Lonchura striata: one gene and its partners. The protein of the gene in region 2 interacts with the protein of the main gene of each other region in a biochemical or structural test. Links are inferred from orthologs where the notes say so. Each region holds a gene or a part of one and is shown on either strand. Other genes may lie near its edges.

The links.
Region 1: the proteins of ARF6 (region 2) and ARFIP2 form a complex in vitro, tested with the Homo sapiens proteins (2 studies listed by BioGRID). The link is inferred for Lonchura striata from reciprocal best matches to the Homo sapiens genes ARF6 and ARFIP2.
Region 3: the proteins of ARF6 (region 2) and HTR2A form a complex in vitro, tested with the Homo sapiens proteins (2 studies listed by BioGRID). The link is inferred for Lonchura striata from reciprocal best matches to the Homo sapiens genes ARF6 and HTR2A.
Region 4: the proteins of ARF6 (region 2) and CYTH1 form a complex in vitro, tested with the Homo sapiens proteins (2 studies listed by BioGRID and IntAct, with this or other methods). The link is inferred for Lonchura striata from reciprocal best matches to the Homo sapiens genes ARF6 and CYTH1.

What each region holds. Positions count from the first base shown.
Region 1 is NC_134604.1:116,966,965-116,974,797, reverse strand, and holds the start of ARFIP2 (arfaptin-2), read left to right. Parts: upstream 1-4,820; 5' UTR 4,821-4,904; intron 4,905-5,747; 5' UTR 5,748-5,756; coding exon 5,757-5,855; intron 5,856-5,946; coding exon 5,947-6,055; intron 6,056-6,950; coding exon 6,951-7,061; intron 7,062-7,599; coding exon 7,600-7,715; intron 7,716-7,829; coding exon 7,830-7,833. Other genes in the region: RRP8 (ribosomal RNA-processing protein 8), read left to right, coding at 82-216, 299-422, 501-637, 1,293-1,406, 1,637-1,818, 1,922-2,147, 2,676-2,886, 3,081-3,349; TIMM10B (mitochondrial import inner membrane translocase subunit Tim10 B), read right to left, coding at 4,144-4,341, 4,409-4,504, 4,708-4,746. UniProt on the Homo sapiens protein: Plays a role in constitutive metalloproteinase (MMP) secretion from the trans Golgi network. May have important functions during vesicle biogenesis at certain cargo subdomains, which could be predominantly utilized by secreted MMPs, such as MMP7 and MMP2.
Region 2 is NC_134608.1:1,966,718-1,974,090, forward strand, and holds the start of ARF6 (ADP-ribosylation factor 6), read left to right. Parts: upstream 1-4,359; 5' UTR 4,360-4,441; coding exon 4,442-4,969; 3' UTR 4,970-7,373. UniProt on the Homo sapiens protein: GTP-binding protein involved in protein trafficking that regulates endocytic recycling and cytoskeleton remodeling. GTP-bound form plays an important role in the transport of multiple palmitoylated proteins form the Golgi to the plasma membrane.
Region 3 is NC_134604.1:61,622,372-61,629,189, reverse strand, and holds the start of HTR2A (5-hydroxytryptamine receptor 2A), read left to right. Parts: upstream 1-3,812; 5' UTR 3,813-4,228; intron 4,229-4,669; 5' UTR 4,670-4,939; coding exon 4,940-5,339; intron 5,340-6,818. UniProt on the Homo sapiens protein: G-protein coupled receptor for 5-hydroxytryptamine (serotonin).
Region 4 is NC_134621.1:11,768,837-11,776,154, forward strand, and holds the start of CYTH1 (cytohesin-1), read left to right. Parts: upstream 1-4,312; 5' UTR 4,313-7,318. Other genes in the region: USP36 (ubiquitin carboxyl-terminal hydrolase 36), read left to right, coding at 310-819, 1,057-1,199, 1,605-1,769, 2,038-2,153, 2,229-2,360. UniProt on the Homo sapiens protein: Promotes guanine-nucleotide exchange on ARF1, ARF5 and ARF6. Promotes the activation of ARF factors through replacement of GDP with GTP.

The DNA of each region.
Region 1 (7,833 bases), on a different chromosome or scaffold from region 2:
TGGCCTGGCACAAGAGGCCTGGCTGCTAGGGCTGTGTCTGGGCTCGCTGGGGACACTGGGTCACTGGGGGTCCCCCTGCAGCGCTGGAGCGGCCCTGAGAAGCTGCTGGCCCTGGATGAGCTCATTGACCGCTGTGAGCCAGCGCAGATCAAGTACATGATGCAGGTCATCGAGCCCCAGTTCCAGCGCGACTTCATCTCCCTGCTGCCCAAGGAGGTGAGTGAAGCCTGGGGACCAGGGGCCTGGCCTGACCTGATCTTCCCCCTGTGACCTCTCTGTGACCTTTATCCCCACGTAGCTGGCCCTGTACGTCTTGTCTTTCCTGGAGCCACGGGACCTGCTCCGTGCCGCCCAGACTTGCCGCTACTGGAGAGTCCTGGCCGAGGACAACCTGCTTTGGAGGGAGAAGTGCCGTGAGGAGGGTGAGGGCCCTCCCGGCTGGGGGCTGGGGCCACCCCAGGCTTGATCCAGGTGAGGCACTGCTGTGTTGTCCCCTGCAGGGATCGAGGAGCCCCTACACTTGAGGAAGCGACGCCTGCTCAGTCCCGGATTCATGTACAGCCCCTGGAAATTCGCCTTCCTGCGTCAGCACCGCATTGACATGAACTGGCGCAGTGGGGAGCTGCGGCCCCCCAAAGTAGGTCTGGGTGTCCCAGTGCTGACTCCAGGGAGCTGTGGTCCCCAGGGTGAGCCTGGGAGTGCTCCTGCCAGGGGTGGACCCTGGTGGGCTGAGGGGCTGGTGGGGGTCCCTCTGGGGACAGACCTCAGGCCCCTGGTGTGGGGAAGCTGGCGCAGGATCTGCCATGGGGAGCAGATCCGGCTTGTTCAGAGCAGTGGGACAGCAGAAATGAGATCTCCTGGGCCTGGAGAAGGGGGTCCTTTCATTTGCCCCTTTCCAAGGCCCCATCCAGGGCTGCAGCCAGCCTCAGCACCCAAGGAAAGTGCAGTGTCACAGGGCTCAACTGTGTTCTGTGCAGGGTCCCAGAACCCTGGTCATCTCTCCGTGGGGGTCCCTCCTGCCCCTGGACAGAGTCCTCACCACCCCTTCTCTTGCTGCTGGGTTCCTGAGCCTCCTACTCCCTGTTCTGCTGTAACCCCCGGCCCTGCAGCAGACACACCACACACCCCAGCTCCCCTGCCCTGCAGAAGCACCAGGGGGTGCAGGTGGTTTGGAGACCCGTCTGCCTTTCCTCCCCACAGCTCCTGCTACCTTCCCACTGCTCATTATGCTGGGGGATCCTGCAGGCTGGGTGGGGCCACACTGCCCCCCACACCCTCCTGTGCTCCCACAGGTACTGAAGGGCCACGACGACCATGTGATCACCTGCCTGCAGTTCTGTGGGAATCGCATAGTAAGCGGCTCTGATGACAACACACTCAAAGTGTGGTCAGCTGTCACAGGGGAGGTGAGTGTCACTGTCACCAGGCAAGTGAGTGTGGCATTGTCACTGGCGCCACAGGGGCTTGGGGCAGGGACCATCTCCCTGTGCTGGGCACAGCTGGGGCTACACCCTGACTGCTGGGGTCGGTTTGGGCCCGTTATGACAAGGACACAGAGTTGTGCTGCTCCTCTGTGCTGTTTTGGGGTGGGGGAGTGCGAGAGGCTCACCTGCCTCTCCCGTCCTGTTCCCCACAGTGTGTGCAGACGCTGGTGGGCCACACTGGGGGGGTTTGGTCCTCCCAGATGAGGGACAGCATTGTCATCAGCGGCTCCACTGACCGCACACTCAAGGTGTGGAACGCTGACAGCGGCGAGTGCGTGCACACGCTGTACGGACACACCTCCACCGTGCGCTGCATGCACCTGCACGGCAACAGGTACGGGCTGTGGGTGCTGTGTGAGGGAGGACAATATCCACGGGGAGGCTGTTAGCCCCAGGCTGCCCTGGCAGCTGGGCCCCAGGTGTCCCCTCACCCGCAGGGTGGTGAGCGGCTCGCGGGATGCCACGCTACGGCTCTGGGACATCGAGACGGGGCAGTGCCTGCATGTGCTGATGGGCCATGTGGCAGCCGTGCGCTGCGTCCAGTATGATGGCAACAAGGTGGTCAGTGGTGCCTACGACTACACAGTCAAGGTGTGGGACCCCGAGAGCGAGAGCTGCACCCACACGCTGCAGGGGCACACCAACCGTGTCTACTCACTGCAGGTACGGCCCTGCACACATTCCCTCCTGCTGCTCCCCTGCCCTCCCTGCTCCCTGCAGGTACAACCTGCCTTCCTGCTGGCTTGCTATCTCTCCCCTGCCTTCCAGTCATGGGTACAAGCTGTGCCAAAGGTCCCACATGTGCTGTAGGGACAAATAGGCTGTGCGTGTGTCGTGCAAGGCCCTGTGAGCTTTGCAGGGACATGTGTGCCCTGAAGGGGCTGTATCTGCCCTGCAAGGACACATGGACCCTGTTTGTGTCCTTTGGGGACAGTCTCTGCCCCCCTGATCCCACTTCCCACACACATATGCTGTGGACACAAACACTCGTCCATGCCCCTTCCCTGGAGCATTACAGCTCAAAAAGCCAAGAGGCACATGAGCCTGTGTCTCAGCTGCTGAACTGGGGTCGCTGGTGCTGGAACTGGGCGTGCTGTATCCCAGACTAGGGAGTGCCGGAGCTGTGGGCTGTGCCCCAAACCAGGGACACTCCTGTCCTCGATCCTGAGCTGGACCCCTTCTCTCTGGCAGTTTGATGGGACACACATCGTGAGTGGGTCCCTGGACACATCAATCCGCGTGTGGGATGTGGAGAGCGGGAACTGCCTGCACACGCTCATGGGGCACCAGTCACTCACCAGCGGGATGGAGCTGCGTGACAACATCCTGGTGTCCGGCAACGCCGACTCCACCGTCAAGATCTGGGACATCAAGACAGGGCAGTGCCTGCAGACGCTGCAGGGTGAGAGGGGATACCTTACCCCTGGGGGGCAGTGGGATGTTCTCTCCATCAGGGGGCTGGGAAGGGGCAGGGCTGGGAGGGAGCTCCTTGCCCTTGAGACTGGGCTGGCTGTAAGCTGCCAGCTGTGGCAGGATCCATGTCAACAGCAGTGGGTGGCCCAGGTATGCATGGGGCTCATGGGTGCCTCCCCATAGGTCCCAGCAAGCACCAGAGTGCCGTCACCTGCCTGCAGTTCAGCTCCAAGTTCGTGGTGACCAGCTCGGATGACGGGACAGTGAAGCTGTGGGACCTGAAGACAGGGGAGTTTGTGCGAAACCTGGTGGCCCTGGAGAGCGGGGGCTCGGGTGGGGTGGTGTGGCGCATCCGCGCCTCCAACACAAAGCTGGTGTGTGCTGTGGGCAGCCGCAATGGCACCGAGGAGACCAAGCTGCTGGTGCTGGACTTCGATGTGGACCTTAAGTGACCCCGGCCAGCCCGGGGGTCCCGCGGGAGGGGTGGCCCCGGCGCAGGCGCTGGCCCCCGTGGGCAGGACAGAGGGGAGGTCGGGCCGGGCCTTATTTATATGCGCGGGAGTGCCCGGCCGGGCCTGCAGGAGCATGTTTTGTACACGGAATATATCAATTTATTTCTGTACTGGGGCTTGTGCTTACCTGCCTTAAGGCCTGTCCCGGACCCGCAGCTCACGCCCTCTGCCCAGGGGCTGCAGCAGGGAGAGAAGAGGCCAGGATCTCCTAGGGACCACGCATACACACGCCCTTAGCTGGTGGGCACTGGCCTGGCAGCACCTGACATCTACCCCCACCTTGCCCCCTCCCCCTGCCCTGAGTGCCTGCTCTGCACCTGACAGTTGCAGTGAGAATGTTCAGGGCCCTGCAATGTCCCGGTGATCACGGGCGTCCTGTAGGGAGACATTTGTCTCCCAGTGAGGTGCAATTCCCTGGATTCCCTGTTGTGCCATGGGTTCACACAGCAGCGAACAGGGGCCAGGGCTCTGGTGCCCTCCCCACGTGTCACACTAAGCCATTACTGTGAAGATGTTTTATTGGTATTCACACTCCACTTCCCAGAAATCCACAGCCAGGAGGGCTAGGGGGGGCCTTCCCCTGTTCCTGTGCCCCCCATCCTCGGTGCCCTGCATAGCCCAGCCGCTGCTCGGGGCTCCGGGGGCCCAGCGCGGATGCTGCTCCAGCCTGGAGCTCCAGCGCAGCAGGGCTGCTGCTGCGTCCGACGGCCGCGGGGAGCTGCGGCCAGGGGCTTCTACGTGCCGGCAGCGGGAGCGTCTTCCGCGGGGCCCGGGGCCGGTCCAGGGGAGGCCGGCAGTGCGGGCGGCCCCGCCGCAGCGCCGTGCTCGGCTGCGCGGCGCTGCAGCAGCGCCGGCACCAGTCCCACGTAGGCGCCCATCAGGCGGTGGTTGGCGCGGACCAGCCTCGCGGCGCAGCTGTCCAGGCACGACTCCTGCGGGGCACGGCGGGGGTCAGGGGGCGCGGGGGCAGCCGGCCCGCGGCCCCCGGGCCCCGCTCACCTCGCGGCCCGTGAGCAGCCGGTAGTTGAGGTTGCAGACGCAGTGGCGGAAGCAGAGCTCGGTCATGCGGTTGTAGACCAGCAGGAAATCCCGCAGCTGGGGAGCAGGCGCGGATCACACCGGGCGGAGCCGCTCCGGTACCCCCGAAACCCACCGCGAGTCCCGGCGCGCCCCCCGGCCAGCCCGAGTCCCTTCCAGGGCCCCGCCGGCTCTCCTGCGACCCCGGCACCTCGCGACCCCCCAGCTGGAGCCCCGGGACCCCCCCGAAGGCCTGGCGGGACACGCCGCCCCCGGCTCACGCTGCGGAGCTGCTGCCGGTGCTCGGCCGCCGGGTCCATGCCGGGCCCGGCCCGGGCCGCTCCCGCCGCACTCCCCGCGCCGTCACATCCGCCCGGCTCAGCCATGACGCCACCTCCGGGCCCTGACGGCACTTGCGGCGCGCCCGGGCCGAGCGGAGCGGGAGCGGCGCGGGGGGCCCGGCGGGGCCGGGGCGCAGGTGGGGCTGGGGGGCACCGGGGGGCCGCGCACGGCCAGCGGGGCCTGGCCGAGAGAGCCCCGGGAGCCGGGCTGCGGCCGCCGCCGCCCGCTCGGGCCGGCTCCGCCGGGAGCGGCCACCGGGGGTTCCCTCGGAGGTCGGTCCCGTCCCGGGGCCTTGCCGTGCGTGGCTGCGGAGGGCTCCGTGCGGGCGCTGCCCCCGCCCGCCGCGGGGGCTGTGGGGCTGCGGGGCCGTTCCGCGGCCGGGATGGCCCCGGGCGGTGACAGCCTCTGCCCGCAGGGCTCGCCCCCCGCGCTGGGCCGGGCCCTGTCCCCGCCGGGGAGGGCACAGGTCGCAGGTAACGGGTTCTCGGGAGCCCGCCCCGGGCCCCGCCTGCTGTCGAATGTGCCCGGACCGGTCCGAGCGCAGCGGGCCCCCTCCCGCTCTCCTGCGGACGTGGCTCCCGGCGCCGCGCTGCGCGCTGCCAGCGCCGCTGTCCCGGGGCACGGACTGCGGGGATCCCGGCAGGGTTCGTGAGAGGGGGCACGGAGTGCGGCCCGAGGGGCGGGGGAGCCCTGGAGCCCTGGCGTGATGGTGTGGGAGCCGCAGCGGTCTCTGGGATGTGCCACCCCACGGGTCGGTTCTGGGGGCCGGGGGTGTCCCGAGAGACGGTGGGGCCGGGCTGGGAGTGGCTGCAGGAGGCAGCGGGCAGCCTCTGCTCGGTGCCAGCGGCTGCCGATGTGGGCCCTTCTCTCTGCGCCGAAGCCTCCTGCTGTCCCAACACGGCCCCGCAGTACCGGCTGTGGCTGCTGCCCCCGGCCGGGCGGTGGTCCTGGCCCCAGCACCACGGCCGTGTCCCTGCAGGCCCTGAGGATGTCGGACGGGATCCTGAGCAAGGCAGCCACCATGGAGATCCCCATCAGCAGCAACGGGGACACCAGCAGCCTGCCCGAGGACGATGGCCTGGAGCAGGTCTGGAGCTCGGGAACCCTAGGGGGTGTTTGGGTTGTACCAGGGCTGTGCCATCTCTGCCTCTCAGCCCCTGTGCTATTCTGCCCCCCAGGACCTGCAGCAGGTGATGGTGTCAGGACCCAACCTGAATGAGACCAGCATTGTGTCAGGTGGCTACGGGGGCACGGCTGAGGGCATCATCCCCACCGGCACCATCAAAGGTAGTGGAGTTGGGCTGGGAGGGAATGGGGCCATCGTGGGACCAAGGGGCTCATCTCTTCTCAGTGCCCCTGACTCATGACACGAGGCTGTGCCACAGCCTGGCCGAGGTGGCTCCTGGGTGGGCTTGGGTTCTGTGTAGGGGCAGCATGTGGCAGTGTGCACTGATGGCAGAGGAGGGGCTGCTGCCCCAGCTCCGCTCTCCCTGGGCTGCTCCCCTGTCACAGGGTGGGCTCTGCTGGGAATTTCCATCCCCTTGGTCAGGACATCCCCGTGAGATTCTGAATCCCTGCTTGGTGGAGGATCCCTGCTGTGTCCTGGTCCATGTGCAGCGGGAGCTCTGGAGTGTGCTGGGGATGAGGGGGCAGGCAGGGGCACAAGCCCACACTCTGCTGACCCCTTCTTGCTGTCCCAGTCAGACCGGGCCACAGCGGGGCCAGCTGGGCTCTGCACCCTGGGAGACCTGGCAGCACTGTCCTTGTTCCATGCAGATCTCTCCCTGAGAGATCTTCCCCAGGGCCTGAGGAAGGTCCATATGGGCAGAGAGGGAGACTGCACGGGTGTGCACTTCCCCGGAGCACCGCCACTGCTGGCCCGGTGTCCCTGTGTCTCTGTGTCCCAGCGTGCTCGTGATGCCAGGCCTACCCAGCCCTTGGAGTGCAGGGGTTCCTGCACAGGGGCCAGAGGTGGGGGTTTCCTGGGCTGGGGCATCCGTCTGTGAGGCTGTGGCAGTGTCTCTGGGTTCCAACGCTCACCTGCTGCCGTCGCTCTCCCGCTGCCGCCCGCCCGCGCACTCGCCCCTGTCCCTTGCCCCCCCGTCCCTCTGCCCTGGCTACCCCACTGTGCCATGCCCTGTGCCCCCATCCTGTCCTGCCCCACACTGCTCAGCCCCCGCAGCCCCCCCATTTCCAGGCTCTCTTGTCCACCCTCACCCCCCCCGAGGACCGTCGGTTGCCCCCAGCGCGCCTGCTGCCCGTAGGATGGCCCGCCCGGCCGCGGCTCCCGCAGGTACTGCGCCCCCCACTCCACCCCGGGCGTCCCTTGGGTCTGGGGGCCCCGGGCCTCCCTAGGGACGTTGGTAAGAACCCCCATGGCGGCTGTGTCATGGCCAGAGCCTGGTCCTGGGGCTGATCCTTGTGCTGGGACAGACGACAGCACTGGTGGGCCCAGGGGTTTCAGAGGTGGGTCCTGGCCAGAGGGGCCCACCCTGCCCCTGGAGCCCACCTGAGGGGCTCCCAGTACTACTGGGCAGTGTTCCCCCTGTGTCCAGCCTGGTGACAGCAGTCGGCAGGAATGGGGCAGGGCTTGGTGCAAGCAGATATGGCTGGGCTGGGATCTGTGCCCCTGTGTGGGACCCTCAGGGGGGCTGGCAGGAGCAGGGTCCTCATCACAATGCCTGTGAGCCAGTGCTGGGCATATGCCTGGAGCTGGGCATGCTGTTGTAGAAATAGCAGCTCCAGGACAAGGGCTCTGGAGGCTGGGGCTGCCCGTTCCCCGTGGCTGCCGCCCTCGTGCAGCTGGTGCCATATTCCTGTCCCTGTGCCAGGCCCTGGGCTGCACCCACCACCCCCAGGACCCCCGCCTGGTGGAGAAGAGGTCGTGCGCGGCATTGCCGTTGAGAAGTTCGACATTGTCAAGAAGTGGGGGATCAACACCTACAAGGTGAGTGTGAGGGGACACCAGTGGGCCTTCCTGCTCCCCTCCCATGAGGAGCTGCTCTCGGTGTGGCTCGGGGGACTCACAGGCGCCTTGGGGCCCTGTGTCCCCCTGCTGCAGTGCA
Region 2 (7,373 bases):
TTGCCCGTGTTATAAATGAGAATTTATTCAGCCAGATTAAAAATTTAAAAAAATAATTTTATTAGCGGTCAAATTCGATCTAGCCAGCCACAGGGAAAGAACAGAGCCGAGCCTTGGGTCGGCCCTGGGTGTGCCACAAGGAGTCACCTCAGCAGAGGTTTTCTCCTATGCCCACACACCTCCAGCCTGGCACAAGTGAATTTTATAGGGAAAATTCCGCCTGAGGCCAAGATTTCAGCAATCAGTCTTTTCTTCTATTCAGAATCCATAATAAGATTTTCTTTTTTGGTGATGAGGAGAAATAATTCAATGTCTGGAGTAGGTGAATCCCTGATGAGATTTACGGGAAGGCTGCATTCACATGGATCTGTCTGAGGATTTCCATGAGATCCATCTTGGGTCGTTTATGGGATGATCAGCATCAATGATCAACACCTGGAGTCCCCATGGTGAACACCTGGAGTCCCAGTGATCAACACCTGGAGTTCTGATGGTCAGCACCTGGAGTCCCAATGGTGAACACCTGGAGTTCCGATGGTCAACACCTGGAGTCCCCATGGTCAACACCTGGAGTCCCCATGGTCAACACCTGGAGTCTCCATGATCAACACCTGGAGTCCCCATGGTCAGCACCTGGAGTCCAGCCATGGCCCATCTCCTGGCCGAGCCAATCCTTTTATTTGTGACTCAGTTTCCAATATACACCCAGTCTCACCTGCAAGGGGGGGGAACTAATACAAACGGGCATAATCTAACAAGTATCCAATATTCCATATTTCATACAAAGAATGGCGCAAATTATATTTACTACACATAACACCCAGAAGGAGTCTCCAATCCTGGAGACACTCCAGAGCCAGCTGGACACATCCTGTGCCCTGTGCTGGCCCTGCTGGAGCGGGAAGGTGGCACCAGGTGACCCTGCTGTGCTCCCTTCCAACCCGAGCTGCCACATCCCCCCACCAGTTTGGGGTTTCTGGGGGAAGATGTGCAGCTCATCATTCCCCTCTGGCAGGTTTTGAGCCGTGGATGATCACAGGAAGATGAGTTTTGGGTGCTCTCAGTGTCATGCAGAGGCAGAAGCTGCAACCGCAGCCCAGAGCAGCTCAACTCGGCCACGGGCCCTGCCAGGGATCCGGGGAAAGGAGAGATCCCTTGGGAAACCTGCCCTGAGCAGAGGCTGGATGGAGCTAAAGAATAAATTAGGGATTTATTAAAGGATCTCCTCCATGGATCCACCTTGGGCAGCACCAGAGCCCAGCCAGGGCTGCACCCAAATGACCCAAAATGGTCCCAAAATGCACGAGCGCTCCCGGGGCTCTCCCTGGGATCAGTTCTGCTCCATTGGCACCTTGGAGTTCATTGTCCCATTCCAGCTCCAGCCCATCAGTCCCACCCTGCTTGTTTTTCTCTCTCCAGCCCACGGTGTTTGTGCTCCTGGGCTGAGATTTGGATCATTTGTCCTTGGTGCCCAGCTGGAGCAGGAATTGTTTTGTGTCCCTGCTCTGTGCACAGAGCTCAGCATCCCCTGATCTGGAGCCCAGACCCACACACTAAAGCAGCACAGGATGGGAAAAATACAAAATCCAAAACCTGGGGCATCATTAGCAGGCAGAGGGATAACAGGGATTGGAGCAGGGCCCAATCTCCACAGGGCTCCAGTGCAGGAGCAGCTCAGAGAAACTCTGGCAGGTGTTGCACATCACTTTTCCAGCAGAGAAAGGACAGAAGGAGTTCAGAAAAGCTGCTTGCCAGGTGAAATGGGCAAAGCCAGAGCAGGCCAAGCCCTATTTGCACCCAATCCCCAGAGATGATGGACAATGCAGTCTCCAACAACCCAAAAAAAAAGCCGAGATTCAAGAGGAGAGACCCGAGGAACAGCATGGCTGGCTGCAAAAGTGGGAGCAGACGATGGAAAGGACACTTCCCCAGCCTGCAGTTGCTCATTCCATGGGGTTTCATGGTACCCAGAGGGGGGGTGACACAGCCTGAGCATCCCAGAGCCCATCCCGTGTTCCACCAGCTGTGCTTTATTTTCACCTGATCCCTGAGATCCTCGCTCCTCACCTGCTGGGTCCCGGGACAAAGCCCCAAAGGAGCCTCAGCTCTTACAAAGGAAAGCAGAACAACCTCAGCACGGTCACACCCTCCCCTCAACGCTTTGCACCGTCAGAACAAAAGCACCAAAAGTCATTTCCTGACAGCACAAAAAGCTGCTCTGAGGCAAGGGAAGAACAACATGGGCAAAGGAAGGACCTTAAAGCTCCTGACATCACCTTTCTCTACTATTTTGAACCCTTGTGGCCTCGTGCTGCCTGATTGAATGAACTCAGCAGCACGGAAATGGTCACGCTGAGCAGAGCCAAGTGAAAACCCACCAATATCCACACCCTGATGTTAATTTTAGCCCTGCAAATATTTAGCTCTCCGTTTAGATAAATATCCCATGCTCGTGAGAGAGGAGACTCGCCCAGCTGCATCCAGCAGGATCAGGGCTTGCTGGAAATCCCAATCCAGCATGCGAATTAGCAGCATTATCTGCTGGTTTAATCAGCAGGGCGTGAACTCTGGCAGTGCCCGGCCAGGCAGGGACACTCCTGAGCCCCGGGGTCAGCAGGCCGTGCCCTGGCACACCAGGAGAGGCCACGGATGCCGTGTTTGCCTTGGCATCCTCCCTCTTGGCTCGCTGCAGGAAACAGCAAAGCCTTCCTCAAAATCTCCTCTTGCCAGCACAGAACGCTGGAAAACCCTGAGCTGGAAGGGACCCCCGGGACCGTGGATCCAGCCCCTGGCCCTGCAGGGAAGAGCCTTTCCCTGATCTCCAGGCCAAGCCTCCCTGCACAGCTCCAGCCCCGCTCACCAGAGGGAAGAGCTTGAGCCCTGAATAATTCTGCAGTCCAGGAAACCTCCCGTTCTCCCAAAGACACCGAAGCGTTCCCTCTGGCAGCTCCAAGAGGAATTGCTTTCCATGTGCCAGGACATCAGCCGGAGAAATCAGCTCCCAGCTCGGTGTTTTGGAGGGGAAGGGGAAGATGGGTGAAGTCAATCCTACACGATCCCAAGGGAATGCAGACTGTGCCCTCCAGCAGGAGACCCCAGGGCGACCAAGTGCATCCCGGTGGGATGCCAGTGTCCCGTCCGGGGTGGAAGGAGATGGGCTGTAAGGTCCCTTCCAACCCACACCAGCCCGTGATTCCACGATTTCGTGGGATTTGTGTTCCAGGCGCTGCTTCCCCCATCCACCCCCCGAGCTCGGGAGCATCCCCCAGCGCAGGCCGGCTCTCACAGGAGCGGTGGGAGCCGGGCCGTGCCCGTGTCCCTGGCCCCGCTCCCGTGTCCCGGTGTCCCGGCACGGCCCCGGGCGCGCCGTGTGCGTGCAGAGCTGCGGCTCCCCGCGCTGGGCGTGCCGGGCACGGCTCGGGACCAGGGCGGGGCCGTGCCCCGAGCGCTGCCCGCTGCCCCGGGCGCTGAGCCGGGGAGTTCCGCCCACCGGGATCGCTGGCGGTGACCCAGGACAGCGCGGAGTCATAAACCCGATGACGCGGCACTGAATCACCGCAGGCTCGGGCTGGAACGGACCTCCCAGCCCGGCCCGGCCCGGCCCGGGGCAGGGCACGGGCACCTCCCGCTGTCCCGGGCTGCTCCCGGCCCAGTGCCCAGCCCGCCTCGGGCACTGCCAGGGACAAGGGGCAGCCGCAGCCTCTCGGGGCAGCGGTGCCGGGGCTTCCCGCCCTCGCTGCACGCAGCGCCGGTGCGGGGCAGGCTGCACGGCCCGCTCGGTACCGGGCTCGGTACGGGGCTCGGTACCGGTGCCGCTCCGTCCCGCCGGGTGCTGCCCCTTTAAGGCGCGCCCCGCGCGCGCCCCGCGCTGACGCGCGATCGCGTGGCGCCTCTCCCCACCGCGGCCCCGCCCCCTCCGCGCGCCGCCGCGCCCCGCCCAATCAGCGGCGAGGCCACGCCCCCCCTCCCGCGGAGCCCCCCCCTCGGGGGCGGGGCGGCGGCGGCGGCGCAGGCGCGCGGGGCGGGCGGGAAGGCGCGGGCGGAAGGAGGGGCGCGGGCGTGGCGGGGCCCGCGCGGGCGCATGCGCGGGGCGGCGGCGGGGCGGAAGCGGGCGCGGGCGCGCGCGGCCCCTTTCCGGCGGCGCGGGCGGAGGCGGCGGCGCGCGGGGCCCTCAGGTACGGCCGGGCGCTCCCGGGACGCTCCCGGGGCCATCGCGGCCGCTCCCGGCGCTGCCCGGCCCGCGGGATCCTCCCGCCGGTACCCATGAGCTGAGGCGCCGCGGCGGGAGCCGAGGCAGCAGCGGGCGGAGCCGCCGCCGCGGGCCCGGCGGAGCAGCGGAGCCGCCTCCCCGCCGCCCCATGCGCGGCCCGCGCTGAGCCCCGCCCGCCCTTCCCCGCCGGGCCGGCGCTCGCCCTCTCGCCCTCCCTTGGATGCCGCCGAGATGGGCAAGGTGCTGTCCAAGATCTTCGGGAACAAGGAGATGCGGATCCTGATGCTGGGGCTGGACGCGGCCGGCAAGACCACGATCCTGTACAAGCTGAAGCTGGGCCAGTCGGTGACCACCATCCCCACCGTGGGCTTCAACGTGGAGACCGTCACCTACAAGAACGTCAAGTTCAACGTGTGGGACGTGGGCGGCCAGGACAAGATCCGGCCCCTGTGGCGGCACTACTACACGGGCACGCAGGGGCTCATCTTCGTGGTGGACTGCGCCGACCGCGACCGCATCGACGAGGCGCGGCAGGAGCTGCACCGCATCATCAACGACCGGGAGATGCGGGACGCCATCATCCTCATCTTCGCCAACAAGCAGGACCTGCCCGACGCCATGAAACCCCACGAGATCCAGGAGAAACTGGGCCTGACCCGGATCAGGGATAGGAATTGGTATGTGCAGCCCTCCTGTGCCACGACGGGGGATGGACTCTACGAAGGGCTGACGTGGTTAACGTCCAATTATAAATCCTAATGGGAGAGGAACTATTTAGTCTACAAAGAATTAAAGAAACAAAACAAAAAAAAATTTAAACAAACAAACAAAAAAAGAAACAAAAAAAAAAATTAAATAACCCACGTGGCTTTCCAGAAGAATGATTCTCTACTGAAAGTAAAACAAAACCGCATCCATAGGATTATGATCACCTTTCTCCAGTTGCCACCCTTTCCTCCTGCACCCTTGGCTGGATTCCTGTTCTAACTCCTCCTGCTTGGCGTTAGGATGCTCTAACCTCCGAATGTGACACGAACACAGGCACTAGATGCTATGGCAGACTTCCAGCAAACAGGGGAAGGACACATTATAGACTTGCTAAGTAACTTTTTTTTTTGTTGGTTTTTTTTTTCCTTTTTCCTCTTGTTAGCCCTTTGCTGGTTTGATTATTTTGGGGGATGTTGGGGGAGGGGGTCCATTTTCAGTGTATGCTTCCTGGGTCTACTTTTTTGATTATATATATATTTTTTTTCTCTCTCTTCTCTCACTTTGCTGTAGATTGCTACTTTTTTGCATTCTTGCAGGATATGTTGCTAGGTCGACTTCATCTAGTAAACTGAAAATTGTTGCTTAAAATCAAACTGCAGTCTGTCTTTTTATATTAAGGACTTTTTTTTTTTTTAAAAAAAAAAAAAAGTTCTGTTAATCTGTAACTAAACAGTGACTCAGTCTGGCCCCACGGCTCAGGCTAACGAGGGGAATTCTTGCCTGCAGTGGCAGAGAGTGGGAATTCCACTGTAACGTGTTCAAAGTGCGTGTCGGGCGCTGGGAAATGTAAGATCTGCTTTGGAATGTCAGCTGGGAAGTTCTGACCCATACATCATGAATGAGGAGGGATGCAAAACCAGCTCCCCACACCACCTAGCAAAGCAGGCATGAGCGATGCTGTAGTTCCAGGGCAGGCACTGGGCAGGTTTTTTTGTCCTAAATGAGGTTTAGTTGCAGTTTTTTACTCCTTGGTGTCGGTCCTCGGGCCGAGGCCCTTTCCAGCAGATGCAGCAATAAAATGTTGCAATGAGTTTGAGTTTAAATCAGATGTTTTGGCAAAAGTCCAGCTCTGACTTGCCTCTCGCTTCCATCTCAAGGCAGCTGGAGACACCAAAACCTTGAAGGGATTCCTGTTTCTTTCCAACAGGCAGGAGGAAATTGTTATTTATTGTTATTATTGTTCTTTTTCCATGCTGGAGCCTTGCGAGGGCGGCGAGTTCCGAGCCGAGCTCTGCTCGCGCCCGGCGTTTCTGACATCAGGAATGGCCATTTTGAGGAAATCACTGCTTGCTTTGGTTTTCCAAGCCTGGACTGAGCTCCTGCGAGTGGCTGGAGCCTCCTCCCTGTGGCCCGGGGCTGCTGGAGTCCTGTAGGAAAGGGAACTATGTTGGATGTCTGAGGCCCATTGAGGAACTGCTAATGAGAGCGGGGAGGGGAGAGAGAGAGAGAATCGACGCTGAATGTAAACTTCCATAATTAGTTCTTAAAGGGCAAAGCAGCTCGTTAGCCATGTCACAGCCTGTAGCTGGGACTGGCCAATCAAAAACCCCACCCGGAGCGAGTATTTGCATAAAAACTCAATCAAGTATTAATTAACGCTGGGTGCACAAACTGTTAAAGCAGCTGGTTCTTATTCAGCCTTAAGGATTAACTTCAGATTTCCTCAAGGAGTTAAAACTCCGTTGGGGAATTCTAGGAATGTATGCTACAAAACCAGAAGAAAATGGCTTTTATTTTTCCTTTTTTTTTTTTTCCTTAATTGTTTTCTCTTTTCAAGAATATAAGTTTTACATGGAACTGGGGGCATTACACTACATTGCTGCCGTGGTGACTCTGCATGCTGAGTACATTGTACACATGGAGCTCTTACCAAAGATGTATGGGAAGATAAAAATCCTGAATTCACTTCTGAAATCCAATGCTTTGGAGCACTTCAAAGTCCTTTTAGAGTATGGTTCCAAAAAAAGACTTTTCTGGATGTGGGTTGCAAATGGGACTGGATGGGTTCTTGGTGCTAGAAGATAGAGCATTGATGGACTTTGTGAATTAGAGAGAGTCTGCAGAAGCCTAATGTAGAAATAACTCTTCCATCTCGGCCCTAAAGAAGAGGAAGTGAGATTAGTTTCTTTTAATCCAAGGCTTTTTGCCATTGGAATATCATTGCTCTATTTTCTAGCTTTTATTTTTCTTTTCCTGTTGCTGTAACTTAATCAACAGTGTGGTGGTATAAAAACTTAAAATTACAACAATATGGTTACTGTTTTCTTCTGGAGCATCAATAAAATAGCCAAGCACAAAGTAAATGCCTAAACTGGAAAACTTGAAGCTCTATTAATGGTTCTTGAACTTTCTTAAACCTATTCTCAGTCAACATGAAAACTTCAATACCTTCATT
Region 3 (6,818 bases), on a different chromosome or scaffold from region 2:
TTACAAAATCTATTCAGAACATCAGAGAACAATGGCAAACTCAGAAACTGGGAATTTTTACACCTGAATCAATCCTGAGAACACAAATTTGAATTATGTAAACTAGGTTTTTAACTGCTCCTCTTTCAGACAAAAATTGTTGAAAAGCAGCATTTCTAGGAAGTGTTTATGTGCACCATGCCAAGCATAAAAACCCTACTGAAGAGAACAGAATAACGTCCTACAAAAAATTTCCAAGCAGAGCTAGGGACCAGGGGAGGGGCTGAGATGAATTTGTTACATTGGTGCCTTCCAGAAATTAAAAAGCAATGTGCAGTCTGTTCCCATGCCAGCTGTGTTTCTAGAGACTGCTTTCTGTCTACCACAGACCACATTATTGCCATTTTAAGCTAAGATTTCACTTAATTTCCATAGGCTGGGACAGACAGCAGCTGCCTGCTCTTAGCGCAGACGCGCTGCCTGGGAGTGCAGGTCGCAGCGTGCGAGGCTCTGCTGCCACAGACTTGCAAACTCCTTTGTTTAAAATAGAAGAGCATGGAGCCTACAGTTTTCCAGAGCTTTCCACCTTTAGGAAAAGCAGTGGTCAAGGCTGGTTTGGATGTGACTGATCACCTAGGAGTTATTCCATGCTGAATTCTCAAGGTAGAGCTCACGCTTGGTTTTGCAGATGGATGAGAGCCCTGGTATTCTCTTTTTGTTGGGCTCTGCAAACAAAGATTGGACATTTCCTTTGCTTGATTCCTGCAGTGATGCTATATGGAAGGAAAACAATTTTCAGGTTCTTGGGGTGAGGTGAGATGAGTGATTTTGCAGTCTAAATAAAATAAAAATCCTGAGATAAATATTACAATAAATTCATGATCAGTTGTACATCCAACACACACGCTAGAAGACATAAGATCACAGTTTTTTTCTGATATGTCAACCTGCACAAAGCTGGTTTCTTATTTATCAATGCTTCATGTGCAAACCTAAAAAAATTTTAAGATGCCTGTGCCTCAGTTTCACATATGCCAAATTGCTTTCTGTCGGGAAAGCTAAGTTTCCAGAAGGTACTCAGACCCTGTGGTAGATACTCAAATGTCTACAGCTACACCACAGTAAACAGTGCAGTCCTTTAATGAAGAGCTTATGACTGTAGCTGCAAAGGTCTTAGGCAAGGCAACAGTTAGCTGGTTTGCACTTTACTTTTATGTTTTTGATGTCCTGAATAGAGCTGCAGATTTAAATGAGTCATTGCACACCCCCAACCATACTGTTTGTCAAGGTCCAACTCAGGCCAAGTTTGGAGGAAATTAACTTCTGTAGCTGGTATGCAAATATGACTATAAGTCAATTATCTTACTTCATAAATAGTGAACAGCCAGGGCTTATTGATCTCTCCTGCAGGGCAGTGGATTGTCTGCCAGGGTCTTGGCTTTGAGTAGTAGTTCTCAAGGTCACTCCTCAGAGTTGAGAGATCCCTTGACTCAGGAGATTCTCAGTAAGTGAATAATAGCATGCTAAACTCTGAAATCTTAGCTAAGTGACACAAAAGATTGATTGTGAACATATAATCCTTGAGATATAAACCATTGACTAAGTCTAAGTTTGGAATTAGGCACACATAAACTCCATTATGAGAAGGCACTTAGAACACAAGGAGGTCTTTTCTGAACCTCATGACTCAACAAGAGAGTCTTTCTCCCTGTCTCTCTTATCTGACCCAGTCCTCTGTGCCATAAATAATCAAGTGCACCTTGTCATCAGATCTTACTGAACCCTTCTCACATTTACCATGAAGCTTGACAAAATCACTGGTTTATATCAATAAACCTGTAGCTATTCTCTCTTAGGAGTGACATCCATGACACACCCATGACTGCTATGCTATAGCAGTCAGAGCCCTGAGCCAACCTTCTAAGAAAACAACGGGACACCTGGGCTCCTCACAAAGGTTGTATGTAGCCCTAGCCAAGAGGTGCTGTGCCCTGTTCTGCACAGTGGCTGCATGTCACCACAGGCCTTCAGCTGGGTAATAATTAGTATTGACTCCACAATTGTAGAAGTTTCATCAATTGCTTTATTATATCATCTTATACTATATTTTACTATACTTATCAAAAAACTTATTAACTCTTACAGCTAGTCTGATACAGCTTTGACCTAACTGGTCAATCTATCTAAATATTATCTAGTGTTTATTTAAGAAATCACCCTTTAGTAAACAAATCTCCATGACACATTTTACATGTGCACAACAGCAGGTGCGAGTGGAGATAAGAATTGTTTTTCATACTTTTCTCTGATCTTCTCACAGCTTTCCCTGGGAAAATGCCTGGGAAAGTCTGTGCCTGCTCTCTGTGGCCAGAGAGCTGCTGCCACAGCTGCATTCAGCAGAAGTGGAGCCCACCCTCTGTATCAGATATGCACTATCATATTCATAGCAGTGGCCACCAAATCCTCTGGAGCATGGATGCCAAATTCACTTGGTGAACACAGTACCCTATTTGATTATTGTATGAAAGGAGAGAGGAAATTTCCTCTTCTGGCTTCTGGGTGAGACTGCCAGAGCTAACACATTTCTTGCTAAACTCAGCTTTATCAACTTTTTTACCAGTTTGTGCTGTCTGATAGTCTTCTGGCCTCACCTATGGGACTGGGAAACTTTATTACTACCATGACACATTTCCAAGTCCCACATGGGTATTAGTGGAAGCTACTGCGTCATTTTCCCAGTCTTGCTGGGTTCACCTGTGAGTAAAACTGGCTCCAAAAAACTACTGAGAAAGGCTTTCTGTAACTGTGCCCCAGTTACTGATCTGAATGGGCATCAGTGTGTGCTCTGAGACTCACTTTGGAATGGTTTTGGGTCCATGAAGAGATTAGCACATGTCAGCTGAGCTGTAGTAATTCTCCATATGCTTGAAGTTCCCTGGGATCTGCAGCAGAGTTGACAGTGCTGCACACAGAGCTGAGCTATGCTAGCAGCCTGCAGCTCCCAAGGGTCTGCCAGGAGCCACGGGTGCCCAGTGACACTGGCACCTCTCTGAGATCTCACTGAAAACTTCCTGAGCCTGCCTGTTTAAAGCCATTGCCCTCAGCATGAGGGAAGTCTGCAATATATCTCAGGATGTGCAGGCGAGCAGTACACCCATTCAGCCAAACTTTTGACAACTGTAAGTCTCAGAAAGTCTGTGAGCTGAGTATTTTTAGGTGGAAAATTGAAGACTCGGCTATTTCTTCATGTGTGTCCTGGCAGCAGAAGTATAAGGCAGAAGCAGTGTCAGACTGTTTTGTTTCCCCTTTGCTCTATACACACATTGCTTTACAGAACTGCTTCCTTTGGGATGCCTGCTTGGGACAGGCTGCTGGACTGAGCTGTTACATCCATCTCCTGACAAATGAGTATGACATCAGAGTGACTTCAATTTTTTATAAGTATCTGTTGCCAAGTTGATTCACACGTCAGCACAGACCTGGAGTTAAAACTGAAGGGGACTGAATATTATTATGCCTGCCTTTTAAGGTTGGTGGAATTTCCCCTCTTTAGGGAAAAAACTTCTCACATGTTTCACTCGTATCTACCATCACAAGCCTTAGATTTTGTCTCTCTCAAGCCTGCATCCTGTAAATCCCTGTAATTGCATGCAGCTGTTTGTGAGGCATCCACTGCAAACTGAAAGCATGTTTTGAAAAAGCCCCCAAGCAGAGAACCTCTAAAATAAGCACTGAAAAAGCTGCTGGCTTACCAAAAAGACCCCCTGTGCTCTGCCCTCCCCTGCCCTCCTCTGCTGTCGCTACCTTACAGTTTCTGACATCCAGAGAGTGGGAGGTCTGACAATCCGAACAAGGCAGCAAGGGAGAAATTCCATTCCTGTTGCAATCAGTAATTCCTCCGTGCAGGCTGCTTTCTCATGTGTGTGCGTGCTTGCTTTTGTGCCACTTCAAGAAGGGCTCTGATATTATTATTACTTTAAATATAGCTGCCCTGGGGCGGGGAAATGCACAAGGAAAGAGCCGGCGAGCAGCCTATCTCTCAGAAGAAAAGAGCAAGCCTCGCAGCACAGGAACTGGCTTCACTCAAGTGTGTGCAGTTTAGAAGTCAAAAAACTATTTGAAATAGCACCGTTGTGGAGGAGGCTGAAGAAAAAAAGACACGGAACTGGCTAAACACAGCGAAGAATATTGTAAACCAGGGTGCCAAGTGCATTTATTTGCAGTTTGAAAGTGGGCTCTGAAGTGCAATGTAAGTCTTCCTTAAATTGTATTCTTTTATAACAGTATCTAGTTGTTTAATTTCCATTCTGAAGCCATGCTGAGCCAAAAGGTACAATTAGCTACAAAAATCAGCATGAAGCAGAATGTGTAGTCTCTGATATGAGGCTGAAAATGATTCTGAAATACAACAGAAGACAGAGACTATCAGCCATATTATGGAAGATGCACTATAAATAAAAGCATATTTAATTATTTCGAGAGAAAGACGTTGGATGGAATAATTAATCAAGATTCTTAATAGAGAATCCAGAGCTTTGCTGTTTAATACGGCAAGATATTTTAATACTGCTCTGTTTAAAATTGTGTGATAACAGTTACCAATAGCAATAAGATGTAGCTCCAGAGGGGAGTCCTAGTGGTTGCAAAAGTTTTATGTCTTTTATTTCTCCAACATTTTTTCTCTCTGAAGCCTCTCTTACAGCCCAGTTTTACTATCCAGCTGGATTTTCAATATATGCCAACACTGGACTTCCTATGGAACTGAAAACAAAACATTTCAGCTTTTGGAGTAATTTTGGTATGTTTTTCTACATTGCACTAGTGGCAAAAATACAGTCGACAAAAGATTGTGTTCCCTCAACTTCTGACATGGGGAGCTGAGGAATATAATGCCCAATGGTGACAAAGGGTGATAATTTCCTGTTTTTCTCAATTTATCTCTGTGGTTTTGGACTTAGCAATGGATATTCTTTGCGATGGAGTGAGCTCTGTGAACCCAACTGCAAACTCCTTCATACAAATAAATCATGAGAGAAGATTCTACAGAAATGTTTATGGAGCTGCAGAAATTAATATATCACATCTCTGCAACTTGACTGTGAACTCTGACAACCTAACCAATCTTTCATGCGAAAGTAACATGAGCCCACCGTGCTGCCCTTCACAGAAAAATTGGCCGGCTTTGCTGACAGTAATAGTGATTGTTTTAACCATTGCTGGAAACATTCTTGTCATCATGGCTGTTTCACTGGAGAAAAAACTACAGAATGCCACTAACTATTTTCTAATGTCACTTGCAATAGCTGATATGCTGCTGGGTTTCCTTGTCATGCCTGTGTCCATGTTGACCATACTGTATGGTGAGTATCAGCTGTGTAACCTACTGCATGTATTGATAAGCCTTAAAGATTGCATGCAATAACATCTTGTTGTCATTATGATTTCATTCTCTTACCACAGAAAATTATTATCACTCCATATAAATTGAAATATATGTCACTGGTTAAGGCGTGGAACAGGTGAAGTACTTGAATCTTTTCCTAGTTTATATTTCCAGCTACAGGCATTTTAAACACAGACCATAAAATCAGTTTATTATTCAGTTGTCAGATGTATTGACTCAAAGTGTATATGAAGATGCTTTGTTCTTTCTATTGTTTTCAGATTTTTTCCCTGGCTCATAATTTTCATGTTCCCAATGAGAATGAAGGGTCCTGCCAGTTACTTTGCTCTGCAAATATGCACTGAAACACTAATGACTACTTTTAGATTCAAAGTAGGCATCCCTCTCAATTATTTTTAGTGAAGTAATATAAATGTAAATAATTTTCTTATCACCAATACCCTGCTTAGACAATCTATTTACTAGCAAATGCTGGAATAAATATTGCATGAACTAAGAAATGGATGGGCATTAGTAACATTTACAAATGCAAAACTATAATTTCTTAAGATAAGTTATTTAAGTTAAAAATGACTCACAGTTCATGCCCTTGCAGGTGATTAATAGCACATCTTTCTTCCCATTTTCACCAAAATCATTTGCAGCACAGCTCACACCAGAAAAAGCAGCACCCTTTGTGTTCAGCACTAATTTTGTCAGGCTGTGACCGTCCCTAAACTTCAGAAATGAGCCTTTCAATGCTACTGAATTGCTGCAGTTCAAAGAAAAGCTAGGCATTGTCAGGAGAGTGAGATTGTTCTATTACTTCACTACTTTGGGACTTAAGGTTCAAACGTGAGCCTGTGCTTAAAGGAGATTTAATCCGGAAAGTTGGAAGTTTATTTTCCATTTTCAGTATCTCTACAGAGATAGCCCGCAGCAGCATTTGCAAACTGCATTTGGCATCAGTCACGGTGCCACACCGCGATGTGCCGTGTCAGTGTGCTATTATCTCTGGCGGGAGAAACGGCGTGAAACAGGAATTGTCCGATGGGTGAGATTTAAGTGCTGCGTGATTCCCTGCGACAAGCAACAGGGACTCCTGCTGGCCAGGCTCCGCTGCCGAGGGCAGAGACGGCCGAGCCCCGTGTCTGGGGAGGGATGCGGGGGTGCGGCGCTGGGTGCCGCTCCCGCCCGCCGGGAAGCGCGGCCCCGTCCCGGCGGAGCCCGCGCCGCCCGCCCGCGCTCCCGGGACACGCGAGCCGCGGGCCGGGAGGCGCCGGGGAGCGCCTGCCTCGCCTTTGCCTCCGCTCTCCCCGCTTCTTCCCCTGCTAGACCAGGCATGGAAGCAGCATAACTTGGCGTGAAAAATCATCTGGTGGCACCCACTGGTACCAGGAGAACCATCTTGGTGTGGTGCACCATCAACCTCCAGGATCATCAGTGATGGCATGGA
Region 4 (7,318 bases), on a different chromosome or scaffold from region 2:
CCCACTCTTTCCTGGTCTGCTGTGGGACCTGTGAGTGCTTGCAGAGTAGCCTCTGATTCCCATTTCGTGGCCAAGATGGCAGCAGTTGGGTGTTGTGCTTCTGCACCTCAGGGGAGGGAGGAAGAGAGGGGCATCCAGGCTTTTGGATCAGCCTCTTCTCCTGTCCTTCAGCCTGTCCTCATCTGCTCTTTAACTTCCCAATCCTGAAAAGTCTGCCTTCAGTTTCGTGCTCAACTTGCCTGCTCAGCACCCGGCCTCCCTGCTGACCCATGGTTCCACTGCCCACACTTCACACCACCTTCTTTGTAGCAGCAGGGAGACAGGATCTGGCCAGGAGGAACCAGAGGGTTCCTTCAAAAAGAAGCGTCGGAAGAGGAAGCATCGTAGCGCAGACAGGAGCCCTTGTGCTGTGGCTGTGAAGGGCATGGATGAAGTCTCCAGTCCTCCCAAGAAGGAGAGAGTTATTTCTCCAGAGGTCTTCAAGGGCAAAGACTCCAGGCTCCCCAAGAAAGAAAGCACTGACCCTCAGAAGGACTTCACTGATAAAGACACCAGGCCTCCCAAGAAGAAAGTTGCCTCTCCAGGGGACTTTGTGGCTGTCATGGGGAAGGAGGTGGCCAGTGAGGGTCTCAGCCATGACCTGGTCTGTCAGGACATGAAGAGTGGGCCCAAGCAACATGTGCCAGAGCCCAGTACTGGCCTGGGCATGGAGCCAACTTTACCCCTCAAGAGGAAGAAGAAGAAAAAGAAGAATAGAAGCAAAGACAGGCTTTTGAAGAAGACAGAAGAGTGCAGCTCTGGGATGCTGCTTTCGGACAGGTGAGGGACGAGGGGCATGTGAGAGCCTGAGGTCAGGCTCCCTGAGTCAGGGGCTTCTCATCTTTCTGCAGGTAGGATGCACCTCAGCATGCATCCAGCTGAAGCACCTGTTTGCTGTGGGTGGGTTCACTTCTCCCTGGGTGCAGCACGGGTGTCTCTGCCCTATTGCTCTGTTGGAAGCTCAGGCTCTCCTGCTGTGGTCTGGCTGGTGTGAGCTGACCCTGCTGCCTTCCCCAGCTCCAGGACAAGAGAACCAGAGCCCTGTAAGACACATCAGAGTGTGGAGGCTGGAGAGCACAAGCACCGCAAACGCAAGTGGATGGAAAGCCTCAGCAGCCTGGCTGCCGATACTGTTCCCACCGCCACTGCCACTACCCCAGGTGTGACCCTGTGCCCTGTCTGGTGCCTGGCAGTGTCAGGCCAGTGGCTTGTCTGCCCAGGAGCCCCCTTGGAGCACTACTGTACCACCCCCAGTGCTTGCTGGTCCCGCAGCTGCCTGGCAGTGTCTGTGTCCTGCTCCCTGGCCTGGGCTGCCCTGTCCCAGGCCTGCCTGCTGCTCCTGGGGGACAGCCCTGGAGCCTTTGCACATGCCCTGGAAGAGGAGGTGGGAACAGGCCCCTTGACTGACCCCCAGGACAGGCATTTGTGTGCCCAGACACCCTCAGCCATCAGGACCTTGTCTGTCCAAATGGTGTTTCCTGGGATGAGATCTGCTTTGGAGAGGGAGGGACATGGTAGCTGCCCTTGCTCCCCCTGGCTCATCCTCACCGTGCTTATTTCCACAGTGGCAGCACATCCCAGCGACAGCCAGACTGGGGATGAGAGGCTCTCTCTGGCTGCCCTGAGCCCTATGGCCAGCAGTTGGGCTGGCACAGCCCCTGAGGGCCAGGAGTCCAGCGTGGTGGACAAGCTGCTCCAGAATTCCTTGGACAGGGCTTATGGCAAGCAAGGTAATCCAGGGTCATGTGGGTATGTGGGTGGGCAAACAGCATGGAGCCCCCCTGCCCTAAGGCCTGGATGGGGGCAGAGTCCCCTCAGCTCTGCAGGGCCTGAGCTCCCCCCACCCCAGTGCAGGCAGGGGTGCTCCTGGAAGCAGGCAGGTACACCCGGCCACGGGGCTGGTACAGGGTGGGCAGCGAGGGGCTCCAGCCTTGGGCCTGGGGCGGGGCCAGGTGCAGCGTGGCACAGCCTGGTCCTTCTGACTCCACCGCTCTGTAGTCTTGACCTGGCAGGGTGAGATTTCGGCCGTGAGCCAGGATGCAATTCGGGACACAGCACTGGCCCAAAGCAAGACCGTCATCGATGACTGGGACCAGGAATTTGACAAAGGAAAGGTGGGTGCTGGCCTGGGCCAGGTGGGAGGCTAGGGCCTCTGCAGTCTGACCTGAGCACACTCCTCCTCTGCACAGGTAAAGAAAATTAAGAAGATGAAGCAGGAGCGGAGGAGAGACTCAAATCCATTCCAGAAGTTGCAGAACAAGCGCAACTTCTGGTTGATGTCACATCCTGCCAAGATGGCCAGCCTGGGCCACCGGCTCTAAGGTGAGTGACCCGGGGGGCACAGTGAGCCTGGGGGCTGATGAGGTAGCAGCCTGGTGGGGTCTGACAGGGCTCTTTGCCTCACAGGTTGAGATCTGCATCCCCAACTGCTCAGGGAGCAGTCCCAGGTCAAGGACCAAGGGCAGCGCTGTCCTGGGAGCTGTTGGTGGAGCACACTCAGAGGGGAGGGAATACAGCCGCAGCCCTGGCGTTGTGCCTTTTCCTTCGGCGAGCTGCTTTCCAGCTGCAGAGGAGCCTGCCCACTCTGCCTTCCCTCCAACCTGCCTCGGCCGGGCGCCTCATCAGCTTCTCCGTGCCTCTTCCCCTCAGGCCCCAGCCCACCCCTGCGGGGGCTCGTGGCAAGTGCCTCAAGCCCATCCCTGTCACTCCGAGCTGCTGTGCCTCCTCTTCCCAGCGTCACCGACCCTCATCTTCCCCTACTCCCCTCACTCCATGACCCCCCTCCCCTGCACAAGCTGCATGGAAAGCCTCCCCCGGCCCCCTGTCGGCCCGGCCCCGCGCTGGCGCGGGGGCACCGGGGGATCCCTTCGGGGCCGGAGTGCTGCCGCCGTGGCTACGGGCATTGAAGGATGGAATTGAATAAATCCCGGTCTTTGTCACTCGGTCATGATAGGCGGCGATGGCGAGGGGCAAGCAGCGGGGCGGGCTCACCGGGACGGGGTTGGGGGGATCACCGGGGCGGAGTTGGGGGGGGATCACCGGGACGGGGTTGGGGGGGATCACTGGGGTGGGGTTGGGGATTTCACCGGGACGGGGTTGGGGGGGGGATCACCGGGGCGGGGTTGTGGGGGGGATCACCGGGACGGGGTTGGGGGTTTCACCAGGGCGGGCCGGGGGCACCGGGACGGGGTTGGGGGGATCACCGGGGCGGGGTTGGGGGTTTCACCGGGGCGGGGTTGGGGGTTTCACCGGGGCGGGCCGGGGGCACCGGGACGGGGTTGGGGGGATCACCGGGGCGGGGTTGGGGGTTTCACCGGGGCGGGGTTGGGGGTTTCACCGGGGCGGGCCGGGGGCACCGGGACGGGGTTGGGGGGATCACCGGGGCGGGGTTGGGGGTTTCACCGGGGCGGGGTTGGGGGATCACCGGGGCGGGCCGGGGGCACCGGGACGGGGTTGGGGGGATCACCGGGGCGGGGTTGGGGGATCACCGGGGCGGGGTTGGGGGTTTCACCGGGGCGGGGTTGGGGGATCACCGGGGCGGGCCGGGGGCACCGGGACGGGCGGCAGGGGGCGGGGCCGGCGAGGCTCCGCCCCGCCCGGGTCACGTGGTGCCGGCCGTGGCGCGCTCGTCACGCGGGCGGGGCCGGAGCGGCGGCGGCGGGATGGAGGAGGAGGAGGGCGGCGGCTGCGGTCAGTGCGGGCCGGGGGCGGGCGGGGGGCTCTGGGACACCCGCCTGGCCCGGGACGAGGCGCCGGGGCAGTCTGTAGTCCCCGCTGGGCGGTGGCTACTCTCCCGGGCGGGGCGCGTTTGGGCCGGGCCGCTGCCAGGTGCAGGACCGGGGGCGGTGGCTCCGGGACGGGCGGGGATTTGGCGGCGGCGGGACCTGCGTCCGCAAGTGACAGAGCGGCCCTGGCGGCATCGTGCGGGCGGCGGCGGAGGAAGCGCCGGGCGGAACTGGCACCTGGTGCCCGGCGGCAGCGCGGGGGGCGGGCGCGGCGCGGGGCCGCCCTCCCCGGGCCCGCGGAGCGCCGCCACTGCCGCGGGAGCTCCGTGGCCCGCTGCCCGCACGCCTTCCGTCGGCCGCTCGCACTTCGCTCCGGTGCTCCCACGGCACTGCCGAGTCCCGGCCCCGCAGAGCTCAGGGCGGCTTGGCCTCGATGGTGCCTGCTGAATGTCACAGCCCCCGGTTCGGGAGCTCCCGGTGTGTGCCCTGGACCCGCTCCCAGGGCGGGCCGCGGCGGCTCAGGGGGTGCAAGGTCTCCCTTCTCATGCCCGTACATTCTCCTCCCACTTCCTTCTGCCCTCCGTGCCCGCAGAGCGTACCTTCCCTCCCGGTGCTGAGGACCGGGACTGGACAGGGAGACCCTGCCTGTGCCTGATCTCTCCCGGGCAGGTTCCCGTGTGTCGGCAGGTGGTTTTTCTTGAGGAGGGCCTTTGCTGAGGGGAGACTGGAGTCTGGGTGAAATCTCGGGCAATGGCCCCAGTGCTGGAGCCGTGCTGGTGACCATTCTTCCTGGGAGCAGCTGGTGCCAGCAAAATGCTACTGCCGGCAGTGCCGGTTCACGGCCGGTTTCCTGCCCAGCTGTGCGGCCGATTAGGAGCTGCTGTTCCACCCCAGAAGTGACAGTGCTCGGCTGCAAGGACTTCACTGTGTAAGATAAGGAAGGTGCTGGCAGCTGCGGCCTGGCTCGGGTGTTGTCCGATACAACCCATTAGCAGGAGAGCGCTGTGGGGATCGGTTCTGCCAACAGCCTCCCAGTGCTTCCTGGAATCACCTGGAAGACATCCCGGGTCATATCTCAGCATTAGAAATGTCCCGCTCACTCTGTGGCGGAAGCCACAGGGAGTGCACCGCCGCCTCCAGCCCCCACCACTGTTCCTGTGCTGGGGGCAGCACAACCCACAGCTGCCCTGAAGCCCATAAGCATGGTTTAGCCAAGGACATTCTGCCGAGGCTGTAGCATGGTGGGAGCCGACGCGGAGTCTCTTTCTGGTGGCATTGTGCTGACGCCAGTGTCTGCCCCATGGCTCATGGCCCCTCTTCAGCCTCTTTTCAGTCTGCCTCGGCAGAGAGCAAATCCCAAGGTGAGCAGCTGGCAGCACAGATGTGTGCTCTCCCTGCTCCTGCCAGGGCGTGGGGCTGCACTCCCACCCCCTTCCCAGCATCTCCCCGTGGGGACAGCAGCAAAACTGAACCCATCCCAGAGCGGAACTGACCGAGAGCAGTGGTGTGACTCAAATGCCTCTGGACTGTGGGGAAGAGGTATCCTGGCAGAGAACCATCCTGGCTGCTCCTGCCTTGCCAAGCTGCAGCACCGGTGAGAGGATGTGGGGAGCACAGTCCTGTCCTAGCACTGTGTCCTGAGCTGGGCCCTGTCATGGCTCAGGCTGGCCCCAGGGAGATGGGGATTGGGCAGTGCTGGTAATCCCACTGCACCCAAGGGATTACTGCTCACTCTGGCCTAGGGATTAAGGGATTTCTCTAAGTGGGGTTGATGCAGCCTCCAGCAAAGCAGCTTGTGCCTGGGGGGCCTTATTGTCTGGGACAGGATGGGTGTGTGATGGCAGGGTGGGCTGTACAAGGTGTGGGGGATCCCCAGGAGGGTGGGGTGACAGGTCTGCAGAAGGCTGGCTGAGGGGGTCCTTACCCAGGTAGTCACTGCTCTCCTTGCCACCAGCCTGTAAAGTCCTGTTTTGCCAGTGGGTGCTGGCAGCCCTTTGGTACAGGTTTGGCTGTCCCATCCTGGGACCACGGCATATTCCTGGACACCAGGGAACACTCCTGGGGGAGCTGCTGCTGATGCCCCAGTGCTTCCTTTGCACAGTGTGGAGTCAGCCTAGGCAAGTTGCTGGGCCCAGCTTGGGGAGCAACTCTTCCACAGAACTCAGGGATGGACTCCCAGGTCACAAGCAAAGACAGTGCTGGGGTAGCACCAGGCTTAGAGAGCAGAGCCAGGGGCTTGGGTAGAGGCAGTTGCCCAGTTCCTCTCCTGAGGTGTTTGGAGCAGAGAACAGTGAGCCCTGCTGCTGACACTTGCAGTCATGTCAGGGCTGTAGCTATGGTTTGTAAACACCCCACCTTGCCTGGACAGGGTGCAAGGACCCAGCCAGGCATCCAGGTCACTCTTTGTGGGAGATGCCACCTGGCCCTACCCCATCCCAGTCGCAGCACCCACATGCCTGTGTCACACTGGTGTTTCTCCAGTGCCAGTCCAGGCCCAGGCAGGCACCTGTACAGCACGTGCACAGCTCAGCCTCCTCTGTGTCCCCAGCTCCCTTGGCTTGCCCTTTTGCCTTCTGGTGATGTGGTAACTGCTGCTCTGGCCCTTGGGAAAGGGGAAGTGGTGTTGAAAGCAGAAGGTCAGTCACATCAGCAAGTGCCTGGCTGCTCTCACAGTCCTGTCAGCTGCCCTTCTCCACTCTCTCCTCCTCTCTTCAGTCACACTGCTCCTGGGATCAGGAACTGCTCCTGCCTGCCAGGGTGCCCTTCCCCACTGCCTGCCCGGTCTGGGCTTCTGCCTGCCCTACTCAAGTTACTCCTGGCTCAGCGATCCCAGTGGATGCAGGGGCGGGTGAGCGGAGCTGTTGGGCTGCTCCTGCCCTGACAGGCCCTGGGGTTTGTTACTCACGGCCATGCCCTGTGCTCAAGATCGCTCCTGCTTTGAGGAAAGGAGCTGTCAGTCCGGTTTGGGGTTCGCTCAGCGCCTGTGGGGTGGGAGAGTTGCTCATTTCCTCAGCTCCAGAGCTGCCCCCCAGCCTGAGATCCTGGGGCATGACCCCTGATTCCTGCTGCAGGAGCCCCCCACACACCAGGGCCGCGGCAGAGTGGGCAGTACCTCTGGGGCATGAGCGGGGCTTGGTGTCTGCTCGTGCTGGCGCACAGGGCTGGCTGAGCCTGTCGGGCTGGGTCAGGCTGGGGAGCGGGGGCCGTGGTGGCACCCCCACGCTCGCACCGCCGCGCTTCTCTGGGTGCACCTTCCTCATGCGGCGCTCGTTGCTATGCGACCGCCAGCTCCTGATGCTTAATGCTCTAATACGGAGGGATAAAACCACTCTAAAAATACACTGCTGCTGGCCCCCCGCGGGGGCAAAGGAGCTGCCGGGGGGCAGGCAGCCTGGGCAGGGGGGCTGCTGGGAAGTTCTGAAACTCCGTGTCCTCCAAGTGGCTTTAAGCCGCCCGCTGTGGCTCCGGCGGTGGCACGGACTGGTGTGCTGGTGCGGCGGGGATTGGCTGGGGCTGGCGCGTGGGCTCCTGCGGCTGGAGCTCCCCTACCAGAG